Arabidopsis thaliana: one gene and its partner. The protein of the gene in region 2 interacts with the protein of the main gene of each other region in a pairwise test. Each region holds a gene or a part of one and is shown on either strand. Other genes may lie near its edges.

What was found. The genes of interacting proteins can lie anywhere in the genome.
Region 1: the proteins of MLO4 (region 2) and AT2G04050 interact in a protein complementation assay, tested with the Arabidopsis thaliana proteins (one large-scale study listed by BioGRID).

The regions. Positions count from the first base shown.
Region 1 is NC_003071.7:1,335,175-1,342,775, forward strand, and holds AT2G04050 (MATE efflux family protein), read right to left. Parts: upstream 4,295-7,601; 5' UTR 4,097-4,294; coding exon 3,851-4,096; intron 3,760-3,850; coding exon 3,215-3,759; intron 3,120-3,214; coding exon 3,033-3,119; intron 2,948-3,032; coding exon 2,891-2,947; intron 2,815-2,890; coding exon 2,370-2,814; intron 2,263-2,369; coding exon 2,212-2,262; 3' UTR 2,006-2,211; downstream 1-2,005. Other genes in the region: DTX1 (MATE efflux family protein), read right to left, coding at 1-19, 112-168, 250-336, 428-972, 1,061-1,306; AT2G04060 (glycosyl hydrolase family 35 protein), read right to left, coding at 6,963-7,424.
Region 2 is NC_003070.9:3,669,905-3,679,474, reverse strand, and holds MLO4 (Seven transmembrane MLO family protein), read left to right. Parts: upstream 1-3,341; 5' UTR 3,342-3,421; exon of another isoform or gene 3,422-3,516; 5' UTR 3,517-3,565; coding exon 3,566-3,691; intron 3,692-4,059; coding exon 4,060-4,117; intron 4,118-4,206; coding exon 4,207-4,427; intron 4,428-4,518; coding exon 4,519-4,635; intron 4,636-4,948; coding exon 4,949-5,009; intron 5,010-5,454; coding exon 5,455-5,546; intron 5,547-5,683; coding exon 5,684-5,758; intron 5,759-5,903; coding exon 5,904-5,989; intron 5,990-6,105; coding exon 6,106-6,155; intron 6,156-6,246; coding exon 6,247-6,287; intron 6,288-6,379; coding exon 6,380-6,553; intron 6,554-6,645; coding exon 6,646-6,681; intron 6,682-6,770; coding exon 6,771-6,838; coding exon of another isoform or gene 6,839-6,908; exon of another isoform or gene 6,909-6,914; coding exon 6,915-6,975; intron 6,976-7,084; coding exon 7,085-7,540; 3' UTR 7,541-7,719; downstream 7,720-9,570. Other genes in the region: AT1G11040 (HSP40/DnaJ peptide-binding protein), read left to right, coding at 1-250; AT1G11020 (RING/FYVE/PHD zinc finger superfamily protein), read right to left, coding at 1,125-1,504, 1,619-1,742, 2,046-2,507; AT1G10990 (uncharacterized protein), read left to right, coding at 8,384-8,962.

The DNA of each region.
Region 1 (7,601 bases), on a different chromosome or scaffold from region 2:
ATTGTTTGATACACGTGTGCTGCAAGAAACCAATCACTAAATGTTTAGGAAAGAATTGTCTATAATAAGATGAAGATGTTCTGAATGATAAAACTGAGATCATATTCATACCTCACAGCCGCGGCGACTCCAGCTGAAATCACATAGTGCAAAGTTTCTATTGTAAGACTGAAAAGAAGGAAACAGGATTCATTAGTTTTTAGTAAAGAGACCACAAAAGATAAAAAGAAGTCCTTCTATGGTACTTACCAAATTGAAAGAACAGAGGTCTCGAGTTTCGGGTTAGGGAGAAGACCTGAGCAGAGTATGAGTATCTCAAATAGCCACCATTCTAGACTATTAAAGAAGACCGAGAAAATGCAAGCGGGATAAGAAGAAGAGCATTAGGGTATGTAACTTGACGGACAAACAACTTAAAATGACTTACCAAATCATTGCAGCTGATGGGATTCCGTATTGGAAGAACTGCTTGATAGAAGACACAAAATCTCGGGATACAAATCCGCGAGTCTTCTCGCAAGAGCTGGAGAATCTCACATAACATGAGAGTATCACAGCGTAAAACCAGAAAGACACACTTGTAGCCATGGCAGGTCCATTACATCCCAGACCAAACAAGAAAACCAAAGTCCAACAAACCAAAACGTGGAACAAAAGGGTGGTCACGGCAGTGAAGAGCAGAGGAATAACCAACCCTTGTGTTAGCAGAAACCGGGACAGTGGTATGACAATCGCTTGGCCAAATAAAGCCGGTATAAGCCAAAAGGCGTAGGAGCCAGCGATTCTTGAAATTTCAGGGTCTTGTCCGAGAGAAATCAAGATCTTTTCGATGTAAAGCCAGAGAATTGATATGAGGAAACAAATTGGTATGTTGGAAGCAATAGCAGAGTATGCGTAAGTTCCGATTTTTTCATATTGTTTGGCTCCATAAGCTTGGCCACAAAGAGTTTCAAGTGCACCCACTAATCCACACTGCACAAAAATAATTGAAGTGTTTTCAATACTTGAGAGAGTCCATTTGATTCTTGAGTTGAAAAGGTTAGAGTCATAGCATAATTACCATAATGCTAAAACCGGTGACGTTTGTGAAGGAGTTTGCAAGAGCGACACCGGAGAGCTGGAGCTCGCCGTTGTGGCCAGCGACCATGACCGAGATGACAGGCAATAAGTACTGAGCAATGGTCACAGTGGCCATAGGAGCGGCCAAGCGGCTCACTCTCTTTAGCTCGACGGTTAATGGATTTGTATGCCATGTGACTTGAGAAGGGACTAGAAGCTCGTCTCTCAGAAGAAATGGCTCCTCCATTGTTTAACGTTGAAGGCCTTTCCCTTTGATTTTAAGATGATATTTATCCTATCTTTATAGACCGACTAAGTCAATAAACAACAAAGGCAACTTGAACTACAAACGTGGTGACGAAGTAGATATGATGAGTAAAGAAGCAAATTCGTTTTGACTTGTTTGAAAATATAGATACTAGTGGCACACGAATATACTATATTATAAAAATAGATATATAGAATATACATATTAAAAATGACATGTCATTAGTGTTAATACTTTTTAATTATTTACATAAGAACATATGTGAAGACTGAAGACTAATATGAATTATTTTGTTTTGTAGAGTTTGAACATTCAATCTTGTATTAATTACTTTTGTGGATTTTTATATTTTTATATAGTCCTAAAGTTTGACTCTAATTTAAGTAATTTGCTTACCTTAAGTTTTGATTCTTTAGACCACTTTAAAGACATTTGGATCTGATTTTACACAGGTTTTAGTAAATCATTTGTGGTTGAAACTAAAAGTGACAGCCGCTCTCAAGTAGAATCCAAAGTTTCGTCAGAGATTTGTCGTGAAGGTCCGAGTTTCAAAATCTGAATAGTATTGTATTATGAGCCTAAAAGCTCTCTCGGAAAGGGTTCACTAAGATTTATTGGTAGAAGATTGTGGTTATAGTCACAAATACCATAAAATAAATTTATTGGGAATGACATGTGAAAAAATTAAGAAAAGCATGTTTATGGATAAATGATGATTATACACTTACAAGTTACACAACATAGTGAAAAAGATAGGCTGAGAAAAAATCATACATATAAATTATTTTGTAAGAACATTTTTTAACACATTAATATACCATACATAAAAATTTGCTCAACACCTACAAAAATAGTTTGAGATAGCTCTCAGAAACATCCTTAGTTTAAGCCAATCTATTTTCACTAGAGACCATTCTCTTCCTAGCCTTCTCAGCCTGCAAATCATAGATTAAAATTACTTCATAGTATTAAAGAAAGAACAAAAAAGAATGTACAAGTATAACATGCTAAAATGACGAATCTTCTATTCTAAGTGTTTTACCTGTTCCTTCCAATTTATGGAAGCTGTGACAAAAGCCAATATTATGGCTTGCACAGCGGATCCGACCACAACACCACACCAAAGTCCTTTTCCGTTCAACTCACGATTGAAAGCTAAGTATACTCCAACAGGAGCTCCTACAAGATAATAAGCTACCACGTTGTTCAAAGCTCCAATGTGTTGCCAACCACTTCCCCTTGCAACCCCATTCAGAACTGCTGTGAAACCGTCGAGGATAAAGGAGAGGCAGAGCAAAGGAGTTAGGTTAGCCACATAGTCCACAACTTCTTTGCTGTTGCTGAATGCGTAGCCTATAATGTTTCGGCATGTGAAGAGAAGTGTGCTAAAGAAAGCTGACTCTACAAGCCAGAGACAAAGCCCTGCCAATACTGAAACCCTAGCAACTTGAGGAATCCCAGCTCCCAATTTGTTTGACACGCGTGTGCTGCAAGAAACCAAATGACTATTATTGTTTAGGAAGAAGATGTTGAATATGTTTGGTTAAAAATTTGAGTTCATACCTCACAGCCGCCGCGACTCCACCTGGAATCACATAGTGCAAACTTGCTGTTGTAAGACTTGCATTAAAGAAATAAGATTCATTAGTTTTTAGTAAAGAGGATAATAAAAATAAAAAGAAGTCGTTATATGATATATATTTACCAAATTGAAAGAACAGAGGTCTCGAGTTTCGGGTTTGGGAGAAGACCTGAACAGAGTATGAGTAGCTCAAATAGCCACCATTCTAGGCTATTAAAGGAAGACCAAGAAAACGCAAGCAAGATAAAAAAAAGCATTGGTTGTTGTATGTAACTTGACCAACAAGAAACTTAAAAACGACTTACCAAACCATTGCCGCTGATGGGACTCCGAAGTGGAAGAACTGCTTGATACAAGACACGAAATCACTGGATACAAATACGCGAGTCTTGTCGCAGGAGCTGGAGTACCTCACATAACATGAGAGAATCACAACATAGAACCAGAAAGACACACTAATAGCCATGGCAGCTCCATTGCTTCCCAGACCAAACGCGTAAACAAAAGCCCAGCAAACAGGGATGTGGAACAAAAGAGTGGTCAGGGTACAGTAGAGCAGTGGAAGAACCAACCCTTGTGCTAGCAGAAACCGAGTCAGTGGGATGAAAAACGCATGGGCGAACAAAGCCGGTATGAGCCACAAGGCATAGGAGCCAGCGACTCTAGAGATGTCAGGGTCTTGACCGAGAGAGATTAAGAGCTTTTCGATGTAAATCCAGAGAACTGATATGAGGACACATATAGGGATGTTAGAGGCAGTTGCAGAGTATGTGTAGGTTCCGATTTTTTCGTATTGTTTGGCTCCATAAGCTTGGCCACAAAGAGTTTCTAGTGCACCCGCTAACCCAAACTGCACAAAGAATTAATATAGTGTTATCAAGATTTGAGAGGCAACTTGATCTTGAACTTAAGAGGAGAGAGTAGTTATAGCATATCATTACCAAAATACTGAACCCGGAAACGTTTGTGAAGGAGGTTGCAAGAGCGACGCCGGAGAGCTGGAGCTCACCATTGTGGCCAGCGACCATGACTGAAATGACAGGCAATAAGTACTGAGCAATGGTCACGGCGGCCATAGGAGCGGCCAAGCTGCTCACTTTCTTCAGCTCGACGGTAACCTGACCACTTTTCCATGTGTCTTTACAGGGGACAAGGTGCTCATCTTGCAGAAGAAAGGGCTCTTCCATTGTTGTCCTTCCTAATGTTGAAAGCCGTGTGCGTATAATCTCTGATGTTATTCTTCTTATCTTTTATAGACAGACAACGAAAACCAATGTTTAGACTTTTCTTTTTGGAAATTTGTGGGACTAGAATATTGAATTTACACGACTCTTAGCTCAACCAGTAAAAGGTATTCTATATTTTCCACCGAAGATACTCAAAAAAGTATATTATTATGTCTACACGTTAAAGTATAAAAGTATAGTAGTTTTTCGCAATGACGTTGTATAGTTTCTTCTCTTTAGTGGACGTTGTGGTCAACAGTCATCCAATAGGATAATAAGGAAGTGCATGAACAAGAAATATACTTGGGGACCAAGTTCGTATAATCAATGACTAAACAACAAAACAACTCGAAAAAGATTACTTGGGAATCAAGTTCTAATATTCAGAGATTGACAATTTATCAAAAAAAATAATTTTGAACAAAAAGAATTTGTTTTAAATAGCAACTACACAGTGCAAACACGTGACTCACAACAACAGCATCCTTACCGTGAGCCATTAAAGTATTTGAGAGCAACTTCATCGCGAGTTTTTTTAACAAGGGTTCTCACAATTTCACAAAAGCGGCATTCTAAAGAGGGCAAAACCGCTGTTTGTTTGGATCCCCATTTCGAATTGGGCTGGGCAGCCTTTGGCCCACTAATAAATTTACCACGGCCTAAAGCTAATGCTAATGGGTAGGCCTATTTACCAATTTGGTCCAGGTCTGTTTTTCTTTCTTCCTTGTCAAACACTAGATATCTGATGGCAGGGTTATGGTTTTGAGATTGGTCGTGGACTCCTTTCTCTCATCACGTTGACACCTATAGATAGTCTAGACAAGGTGCTTTTATTAACCTTGGTGGTAGATCTTAGTGCCTTAAAGAGCAGCTCATACTATTCATATAAGTCTAAGAATTTTATGATAGAATCATCCTCTTTTATAGAGAGAACTTTTGAATCATCCTCTTTTATAGAACGAACTTTTGGTTTGTCTCCGACTTTAAGTTTGCAAAACCATTTGGATACCTTAATCACCTTTGTAGAAGCTGCGTGTTTCGAGCCATTGTTATCCAAGGTTAAAGACTCTTTATCAACGTCACTATGTCTCGTTTGGACCGTGACCATTCAACAATCTCCCAAAATATTCGTGTAATTGTCTTCGACTCACCATTCTCTCGCTTGTAGCAAGTTACTACATTGTTCTTGTCTTCGATGTATGGATCTACCGTCAAATTATCTTATATCATTTTCCTTTACCATTCTCTTGTGAGAGAACTTGTGGTTTTCTTTGATGTTTCCAACCATGAGGTTGATGTTTGTTTAAAATTTGTACTACATATGGGTTAAGTTTGAATGAAATTATCTTTTGCACAAAAAAAGGGTTTTGACCATTAAAAACTAAATATTAAAAAGTAAGAAAAGAGAGAGAGGTATAATTTAGTATTAGGTTCAAATTTGAGAGTCGGGTGAACCTTTAATACTTGTAGTTTTATTAGTGGGTCTAATTGTATTAAAAAATGCAATATAATTATAAATTTTTTTAATTATTAGTGGTCTAATGCTCTACAAGACTTTTTCATTCTAATATATATATATATATACTAGAAAGTTATCCAAACGATGCGTGAATTGTATATTTGGTTTTAGTTTTGAATATAGAATGATATTAACATTAAATTATATATAATATTTTTTTATAATTGTTAATATATCGATAGAAATTATTAGAAGTAATAATTTTGATGTTTACAAATTATGATATGTTTAATGAAGACATTTTACTTGATTAAAAGTTTTCAATGCACTATATTTTGGCTCTTTTTGTGTGAAATTGATATGTTTTATTATAAATTAAAACTTAATATATTCAATATTACCTTTTTTTTGGGGTGAAATGGAAATGCATGTATTACAAACATATGATTTAAACCTTCACAATTAAAATTTTTAAAGCTTATGATATAAGATGATTTTCAATGGAAAATCCTCCAACTTGACTAAAGATCTCATAATGTCGGTTCAAAAGAAAAAACAAGTTATATAAAATCTGATAAATGTACTGAAAACGTTATGTCGCTATCGAGTTACCAATTGACCAACAATACTTTATGTAAATGGAAGATAAAGAAATATTTTCTTTAAGAATTTAAAACAATAAAAAGAAATTGATTTTATATGGATATAATAAAATTAGGAATTTAAAGTTAAAATATCTTATTATTGAGTTATTTCCTTAAATTTGATTTGTATATAATAAAAAAAAAAGTTAAGAGCGGATAAAAAATTTGTCACTTTGAAGGTTTTTTACCGCATTTTTTTCTCAAAAGTTATGTTAAAACAATTAATATGTAGCATGTACAATACTACATGTGATACATGATTTTGAATTATAAAAGTAATATCTTTTCATAATGGTTATTTGCTTTCAACAGTTTAAGATTATTGTTAGAATTTTTGTTTATTTATTAGATATTTCAATGAATCTATTACACATGAGTTGCAATATGGATTAATTGGAAATATATATTATTATTTTTCATTATAGAAATAAATTGCGAAACACCTGTTATTATTAGAACTCCAAAGAGATAAACCAAAGAAATACAATTTTATCTTTGTTTGTTTAATTATTTATCATAAAATGTATTTAACTTCAATTGATGGAAAAAAAAAGTAGGGAAAATAATAACAGAAAAAACAACTCACATCATCATCATTCCTCCATATCTGGTAATGTGTTGTGGGATTTGGGAATTATTATTTATTTTATTTTATTTTATTTTTTTTGTCAAAGAGATGATATCATTCAATTAAGATAGAAACCAAGTACAAAGGAGGAGGGAATCAGATCCAGAAGTTAACAATACAACCATAAGGAGCATTCCACAAAGCCAACATAAGGTAGATAAAAAGATAGATAAAAGGATCGATAGGTTTAATCGACAAGAGTTCTTTGAGAGCTTTGAGCCAAAAGCTATAAAGCATTTTGGTACATGTGAGATCAAAGATTATCGACAATTCTTCCAAAGACGAGTCAATGGATGAACATATAGCCATTGTCAAGAGACCAAGTGGCGTTGTAAAAGTGGTCAAAGTCGTGAATCTCACTGGCCCGAAGAGAACTACACGAGAAAGTGCTTGGACACGGGTTCGAGCAAGGGTAATATTGCTTAGATGCTTGAGGATGATTGCTAGGTTTTTCGCATATTGAGAGATGAGCTCAGACATTACGTAGCGATATGGAGAGGAAGCTAGAACCCAGTTATGCAAGAGATGGGTGGAAAACCGTAACAGAACAGGTGGATCCTCTCTCACATGAAGTCCTCGACCATGGAGATTAAGAATTCCACACAAAGTTTGTATTGGGCTTTGCACTGAAGGAGTGTGAGCAGACCTGAGCTTCAAGCTTTTAAGGGTTTGGGAATTAATATGTTTCCAATTCAAGAACAGCTTTTTGTTGTACCTAAATTACTTCTCAATAGG
Region 2 (9,570 bases):
TTTAAAGGCTTTAACAGGATGCAAACTCTCGGTGCCACTATTGAGCGGAGAGTCAATGTCGATAACCGTGGGAGATGTGATCTTCCACGGATTTGAGAAGGCGATAAAAGGTCAAGGTATGCCAAATGCTAAAGAAGAAGGTAAGCGAGGGGATTTGAGAATAACGTTTTTAGTGAATTTCCCGGAGAAGTTGAGTGAAGAACAACGATCAATGGCCTATGAGGTGTTGAAAGATTGTTCTTGGGCATAAAGGTTTATAATATGCATATGTGTTTCTTCATGCCTTTCACTTCCTTCATTGTATATATGTTTCCTACTAGTCGAGTGGGCTTGATGCGTTAAAGTTGTGATTCGTTGACATTAGGCTTATTTTTATATATTTTCCTTTATATATACATTTTGTTTTCTTAGATTGAGCTGTTTTTTCTATGATTCTTTCTTGCTGTGAATGATACAATTGTCTTCTTGTAGTTAACATTGATCAGTATATCGACAAAGATAACTATCTGAAAAAATTGACAATCAACTTAGCTTTAGTAATGCTTACGACTTTTACGAGTTCTTTGGAGTGAATCCAAAAGAAAACGATGATATTATATACTATAATCTGCACTAGCATACTAAATGACCGCATAGCGCAGTGGATTAGCGCGTCTGACTTCGGATCAGAAGGTCGTGGGTTCGACTCCCACTGTGGTCGTATTTTTGTTATATTTTTAGGTTTTCGGGGGTTTGTAGGAAATTTAAGCTGCAACGACGTACCTATGCTCTCCGTTATCATCTCACTGCTTTCAGAAACTGTAACTCAAAAAGGAACACTTTTACACTAATATCCCTTTTCTCTGGTGAGAGCTTTTTGTGTGATAACTGAAACATCAGTCGGTATATAGACTCTGTTTGTAGATTTGGGTCTCAATATCTTTAATAGTCACTGAAAAACCAGTAGCATTGCATCACCTCATACCATAATTATAATAAATATATATAAGACAAAATATCCATTAGGTACTTTTCATCGCATGATAAAGAAAAGAAAGACACTCTGTGAACATATACGTATGAACTCGTCTCTCTCATGTGCCCGAAACTCCTTACAACCTTTATTTGACAGTTAAAAAACACGGTCACAGAAGTTTCAGCATTTTCAGTCTTCCTTCGTGCTCTGCATCCAGCTTCGGGGGAGTGTAACTTCCGTGAAGATCCTCCACAATGTACTCCTTTGTGAGCTCTCGCTTGGTGAGAATATGGTAATGTCTCTGCCATATCCTTTGGATAGCCATAGTTGCAGCAAGAAACCCATACGCTAAACCAAGAATGGCAAAGATGACGACAAAAACAACAACAAGAGCGAAACAAGCTTCCATTGAAGCAGGGAAACAATCCAAGACACCCCATCCATAACAGCAGTTCTGGCATCCAGCCATCCTCGGGTCATTACCGTTGAGAGCAGAGCAATGTAGAATGATTCCAAGAAATCCAGTCAGCACAAAGAAGGATATAACCCCTAAGAATTCATGACACACCAAATGTTCAAACGCGTGTAAGGCTTCTAGATCCGTGGTATTTGAAAGGTATACTAGTTACGCAATAAAAGGGAGATGAAAGATTCAGTAAATACCAATGCAGTAATAAAACGGGATGGGATGTTTCGACAAAATACGATCCCAATCATCGTTGAAAGAGTTGCGAAACTCTCCGTCTTTGTCCATCATATATGCGAATCCGGCCATCACAGCGATAACCTAGAGTTTCAACAATCTTCTTATTATCAGACGTCAAAAAGATTCAGACAATCTCTATGAAAAACAAGCTTCAAAAATGGCAAGTCACAGTGAGCAAAATGAACAATTTGATAGTCATCAACTTCCATTGTCAATTTCAAGCACCCACCATGTGTACGCAGTAACCAGGTCAAGATTCGAATCTAGTTCACTTTGTGAGCCAGATTATGACATCATATAAAATTTATCCTCAGAATCTCTTAATAAATGCTTTATAATCCTCACGAAAACTATGAAGAGAAGCTGAGAGAGAGAGATACTCACAGTCTGCACAGCTAAGAAAACCAAAAGCACATCTCTTGCGACAAAGAGTCTGAATTTAGCTTTTCTACGCCACGAATTGTTATCCTCAAAGGGTTCGACTCTCAGATGAAACTGTGCTTTGCAAGTAGTACAGTGAGAGAAAGCAAAACCTTCTTTAACCGATCGCCAATGATCGAGACATGAGCGATGCACGAATTGTTGAGTGCCTTTACACATACAAGGTGAAATCAATTCATCGCCTAACAATTCACTATCGTCCTCCAAACAAATACGACAACAAGGAGCTGAAGAAGCATCGTTCTCTAAATCTTCTTCAGCCTTTATCTCATCGCTATTTCCTGCCACCACAGACGCAGCAGAAGGAGACGCCGAAGAAGAATTGGTGTGATCTCCTAACAAAGGAGCGGAATCACTTAGTTTCTGTGAATCCGGTGGCTGCAATTGTACTTCACCTTGCATCATTGATCCAAACCTTCGCTAACCCTAAATTTCAGACAAGAAATCTGTGGGTGGAAATCAATCGGTGTGATTAGAGGACTAATGATTCGAATCGAGTCAAATACATTAGCGTCTCTGTGTTCGTTGATCGGCTAGAGAATAATCGTGCGGGGATGTGAGAAGATTATTTACAGAAGTGGGAGAGAGGCAAAACATAAAACTGGAGAAGAAGGGTCAATGCGAGAGAGAAACGAAAGCTTCTTTATTTTGGGAATTGAAAATTACAGAGAAAAAGGGAAATGGGGTGAGAGAGGCTCGAACTCTCGACCTCAGGATCACTCAATAGCTATGAGACCTACGCGCTAGCCAACTGCGCCACCACCCCAATGTTGGGAATTTGTACACGTGTTAATTTATTATATCATATTCATTTATTCTCCTGGCAAAACAGTGACCGGTCCACCACAAATTGCCAAATCCTAGTATCATTAGTCAAAGCTTTGATGTACTCGTAAACTTCTAATATTAACCGCCATTTATCAGTAAAATCGGTTGAGTTGTTGCTGCTAGATTATGATTAGTAGATTGCTGCTATAAATTCGGTTTACAAAAATTGTATGAAATGGCGTAATTTTGGTTTTTGTATCTGATTATTGTTCATTTAATTCGGACAGTGATTGAATCTCTCTCCTAATTTCAATGATACGTAAACCGATTGAGATATCATCAACCCGGCTTTGTTATTATCGACTAATGGTTGTACCGGTCGGTAAAGTCCGGCTATTAAATTGCATTATTAAATTTAGGTTCTTTAACGACATTTAGGGGGAAGCACATGAATGCTGCAATAAATGAAAGAAGCAATTGAATAAAGAAAGAGAAGAGAGAAGACCGTTGGAGAAGACGAGGAAGCAACCATGTGCTTTGGTTTCTACTTGGTACAGCATTCCATGAGCTTTTTTCTTCTCTTTGACTAGTATATTTTATTGTAGAAAATTAAATGGAGGAAAAAGCTAAACTTTCTTAATCACAGATGCAGATTGATTCTCCATTTTTCTCGGGAGAAAAGTTCCTCGCCGGAGATGGAGCATATGATGAAAGAAGGAAGGTCTCTTGCAGAGACGCCGACTTACTCTGTTGCTTCGGTTGTTACTGTTTTGGTCTTTGTTTGCTTTCTCGTTGAACGCGCCATTTACAGATTTGGAAAGGTGTGTTTTTGTTTTGTATTTTTTCTTCGTGTGTGTGCCTACTATATGTTTGTTGAAATGCTCAGCTCAAAAGAATGAGTGTGAAGAACGTATTATGATTTTTTTTTTTTTTCTGCACACTTGCCACTTGGGTTAACTCTTGCTCTCCATGATTCATGAGCTGGAAATGTTTTATCTAATAATGGGTGCTAGAAAGTGAGAATTTTTATGGACGAGATGTTTCTTCTTGGAGATATGTGTTTATGCTTGCTAAATGTCAGTAGAAGTAGTGTTGATGTTTTCACTCTAAGAGAAGTCATTATTACAGGATGTGTCTTTCATGTTAGATATATATGAGGAGCTAATTTCATGTTCTGTTTTGTTTTCAGTGGTTAAAGAAGACTAGAAGAAAGGCACTTTTTACTTCACTTGAGAAAATGAAAGAGGGTATGTCAAATAAACCTGTGCTGATGTTGTGGTGCTTTATACTTTCTTTCTTTTTCGTTTGATTTTGACTTGTTAAACTTTCTTGGTAGAGTTGATGTTGCTGGGACTTATATCACTTCTGTTGTCACAAAGCGCGAGATGGATTTCAGAAATCTGTGTTAACTCTTCCCTTTTCAATAGTAAATTCTACATTTGCTCTGAAGAGGACTATGGAATCCATAAGAAAGTTCTTCTGGAACACACCTCTTCTACAAACCAGAGCTCCTTACCTCATCATGGAATACATGAAGCCTCTCATCAATGTGGTCATGTAAATATTTACTTTTTCTATCGACTTAAGAGCCTATTTTCCTTTTGACTTTTAATTATATTACTGAACTGGATGTTGGATCCAATGCCAGGGCCGTGAACCATTTGTGTCGTATGAGGGACTCGAGCAACTCCTAAGATTCTTATTCGTCCTGGGTATCACTCATGTTCTATACAGTGGCATTGCCATTGGTTTAGCCATGAGCAAGGTACACATCCTAGCTCCTAAATCTACATATGAGTGTTAAATTTGTATTCTTAAGTATTTCTATGTTGCTCCGAAAGGAAGAGATGTATTATACTTGCAATCAACTTTATCCTCATGTCTAGAGGATGTAGAGAACCTCATGATCAAATAATTAGTGGTCCTAAGTATATGTCAAATAGAAATTATCTTCAATCTGAAAATTGAGGGAAAACCTTCGATATTATCATTTATGTGCATAGAGTGTTAGTAAGATTAAGCAGACGAACATATCAATACCATCTGAAACAGTGTTGTCTTTTTATCACGTAACACAGATTTACAGTTGGAGAAAATGGGAAGCCCAAGCGATCATAATGGCTGAATCAGATATCCACGGTAAATGACAAGACTTTTCTGTCTCTCCTTCAAATTAAGGCTTGTATGTTTTTGATGGGTCTCATCTTGAGGGCACATGAGGAACTGTGTTATCTTAGGATTAAGAACAGCATGAAACTAGGATTCTGTTAAGTATTTAGGTTGTTCATTCATGAACTCACTTAAGCTGTGGAGAGGCTTTTATGCAGATTTGCAAATTTCGCTTCATCTTGACTAGCAGATCAAATCCAGTATAATCACTTATAAATACTGATATAGGAAAAATTCCTTTCTGTCCTAGTATAATCACTTATACAGGATTGAAATGAACTGTGTGGAAAAGAGATGTATCTCTGTAATTTTAGCTTTATCACAAACAGCTGATTCATTGTTAAAGATACTTAATGCCTAGGATGCTTTAGTTTCCAGTCATATATACCCTAGTCTTCTTGACTTTGTTCAACAGCAAAGAAGACCAAGGTGATGAAGCGTCAGTCTACATTTGTTTTCCATCATGCCTCTCATCCTTGGAGTAACAATCGTTTTCTCATTTGGATGGTAACTCCCCATGCTTTTACCTTAAGCTGTAATTTTTTAAAAATTTCATATCTCTAGTTAAGAACACTGTTATATTTTTCTCCAGAAGCTATTTTTACGGCATTTGTCCAGCAATAAAATATATGTTTGCATTGCAGCTTTGTTTCCTGCGGCAATTTAGAGGCTCCATACGAAAGTCTGACTACTTCGCACTTCGGTTAGGTTTCCTCACTGTGAGTAACTTTTTTATTTCGTTTCTCAGTCTTTCCTTCAAATTTAAAATATAACTTTCTAGTAATTTCTCAAGAATTCTCATCTAATCTGGTAGCTGACATGATTAGTTTTCTGAATCCGGTCTTCATTACTTTAAAATTTCAGAAACATAATTTGCCATTTACATACAACTTCCATATGTATATGGTACGGACGATGGAAGATGAGTTTCATGGCATTGTTGGAATTAGGTATGCGTTTCTGAGAATTGAGATCTTATCAAAGACTCTTTATTCAACTGTTTTCAGAAGATTTCGTAAGGGAGTTACAGAATGGGACTGATGAATGTTTCTTGATGAATCAACAGCTGGCCACTTTGGGTTTACGCTATAGTATGCATCTGCATAAATGTTCATGGTAACTTATCGGTTCAATAAATACAAACTACATTCCATTTCTATCTCCACATTAAAGCTTTGTCTTTACTAATTCAGTGATTTCCTTGCAGGCCTGAATATGTACTTTTGGATATCATTCGTTCCTGCCATTGTAAGTAAAAGCAAGATTAAGTAAAAAGCTTGAAATTCATAAGGCAGTACTAACACTCAGAGCATGTGTTTGTATCTGTTTTGTTGTCTAAGCTTGTCATGTTGGTTGGAACCAAACTTGAGCATGTTGTCTCCAAGCTTGCTCTCGAGGTTAAGGAGCAGCAGACAGGCACATCTAATGGGGCTCAAGTCAAACCACGTGATGGGCTCTTCTGGTTTGGGAAACCAGAAATTCTGCTACGGTTGATACAATTTATCATTTTTCAGGTAAGCAAAAAGACTTTTCCTTTCTCAATTCTTCAAGCCATGATATTACTCTATTCACACAGATGATCCTTATATATTTCCTGCTAATGCAGAATGCATTTGAAATGGCAACATTCATCTGGTTCTTGGTAAGGCCACCTTATAAAATGCATCAATACTTAAATCAGCTATGCAAAGTTTTTCAGTTTTTGAGAAGATCATCAATTTCATGTATCAGTGGGGAATCAAGGAAAGATCTTGCTTCATGAAGAACCATGTGATGATATCAAGCCGGCTAATTTCTGGGTGCGTTTCAAATACACAACAATTCGCAGCAACACACTGTCTCTTAAGATTTTTTTTTTCTTTCTGGTGAATGCAGGGTTCTCGTTCAGTTCTGGTGTAGTTATGGCACTGTGCCTCTCAATGTAATCGTTACTCAGGTTCGTCAAAACCTTTCATATATCTACAATTCCACAATCTTAAGCCTATCCAAGTCTGTGACTAAACATCGTTCATAAAAACTCTATGGTTTCACCTGAATCTGAACAGATGGGATCTCGGCATAAGAAAGCTGTGATAGCAGAGAGCGTAAGAGACTCACTTCACAGTTGGTGCAAGAGAGTGAAAGAGAGGTCTAAGCACACGAGATCAGTGTGTTCCCTTGACACAGCAACAATAGACGAGAGAGACGAGATGACAGTGGGGACATTGTCTAGGAGCTCATCGATGACTTCACTGAATCAGATTACCATAAACTCCATAGACCAAGCAGAGTCTATATTCGGAGCAGCAGCTTCATCCAGCAGTCCTCAAGATGGATACACGTCGAGGGTGGAAGAATATCTGTCTGAAACATACAATAACATCGGTTCGATACCGCCTTTAAACGATGAGATTGAGATTGAGATTGAAGGTGAAGAAGATAATGGAGGGAGAGGAAGTGGGAGTGATGAGAATAACGGTGATGCTGGAGAAACACTTCTTGAGTTGTTTAGGAGGACTTGATCTTGTTTCTGCTTTTAGAAGCTTGGTTCAGTTGTAATTACTTGACATCCATACAAGAATAACAATTAACAAAGTAAATCTTTTGTTGGTCCAGTAAAAAAAAGTATTCAATGATCAAAGTACATCTTTTGTTGGTTCAGAGGTAAATTTAAAATATAATAGCATGGATTGGAACGAGATATTATGGCATTAGGAAACTTTTTGATTATGGCAGTATAAACAAAGACCACAAATTATGGCAGCTATACATATATTGATTTCAAAACAGAGATAAAGACTTGTCACCTGTCATTTGATTATTTATGAATTTACCTCTGCAGCATTTTCCTTCTTCTGTGCAGTCACGCCTACCGATGGATTTGATTAATTTCCTGTCGATTATTACTAAGTTGTATTTCTAGTAAATACAACTTAAAAGTAGTTTTGTACTCGGTCTTAAAACTAGTTTTGTACATAGTTTTTGAGTAAGATACTTTGTTTTTTTTGGGACAAAGAGTAAGTTAGTAATATCAAATTTTATCATAGTGATTGTTAATTTATGTCAACTACGAAATTAAGAAGTTATCAAATCTGATTTGAGTTATGATAACAATGTCATTGATAGACTCGGTCAATTATGGCATTAAGAAAATCTAAGGATTTAAGTAACCAGGTATCAATTATTACCGCCGTTGGTATTGACTTTTAAATAAGACTTGCCAGTTGTCACACACATGTCATAAACAATTGTTTTTTTCTTCTTCTTTTCATTCAAATGATAAAATTAAACTTGCACTATACAGTTTCTATAGAATCATCCATCACTAGATCTGGTCTGGCGATCCCCAAAAGATCAAGTCAAAAATGAATAACAGAGAAATGAAACATGGTAAAAAAAAAGACGAGAAGATGCCGGTTTTAGTGATGCCAGGTTTCATAGCCGGAGCAACATTTCTGGTTATTTGGATCATACGACGTGAGTTCCTTTTATCTTACTTTTGGTGTAACATAGATTTCCTTGCTTCTGTTTATCTTTTGAATAATCCATATATAGGCTATAGAAAGGGCTCCACCAAAACTAACTCGCCGCCACCATCCGCGCTTCCAAAGGCTCGAGAATGTGGTCCTGTGGCGTCCACTAAACCTAACTTAACACCTGCGCCGCCGCTAGGTCAGCCACGGCTATACGCTCAAGAATCTCAACAGTACAGTCTTGTGGCGTCCAATGAACCTGACTTGACACCTGCGCTGCTAGGCCCGCCACCGCTATACGCTCAACAGTCTCAACAGTTTAGTACTATTGTGGTGTCCAGTGAAACCGACATACCCCAGCTTCTGGTTCAATGTTGTCCGCCAGATGGAGACCGTGGATTAACAAATCAATACTATGCGGGACAAGAGTTCGACTTAGGAGGACACGACAAGGACAGCGATTCCGATTAAGAGTAGAGTACTTTTTTAAACAACTTTTGATTATGAATTTACCTCATCCACCATTTTTCTTCTCTTTATCTTGTGTGCACCGGCATCTTTAGACTATAATATATGTCGTAAGAAGAAGAAGAAGATTATAATTGGTTGATTTCAGTTATTTTATTATCAAAAAGGAAAGAGAGGATAATGTAATGTTGTAATCTTATATATATATATCCGAATCAGGGCGTCATTTCAGTTTACTAAATCATTTTTATTTATCTAATTTATGAACCATAGATGCGTTAAAACGTCTACTTAACCTTTTGTAAACTTGAGTGAATTGATGAATGGAGTAAAATTTCAAGTTTCATCGCATTCGTTTGTGTTATTAAGTTTTGTGCTGAGAGCAAATCTTCTTTTAGCCAAACAATGGGTGTTGTGGATTTCTAGACTTGATTTTATTTTCTAGCAAACTAAATAAAGTTTTGGGCCCAATGGGCCTGACTCATTGAACAACAAACTAGCCGTTGGTCCGTGTTTGTGCATAGCTCGGAGACGAGAGGTTGTACGTGTACGGAAAGTAACAGTACGGAGATTAGTCATGAAAAACAATAAACATGGTGCTTTTATGTTTT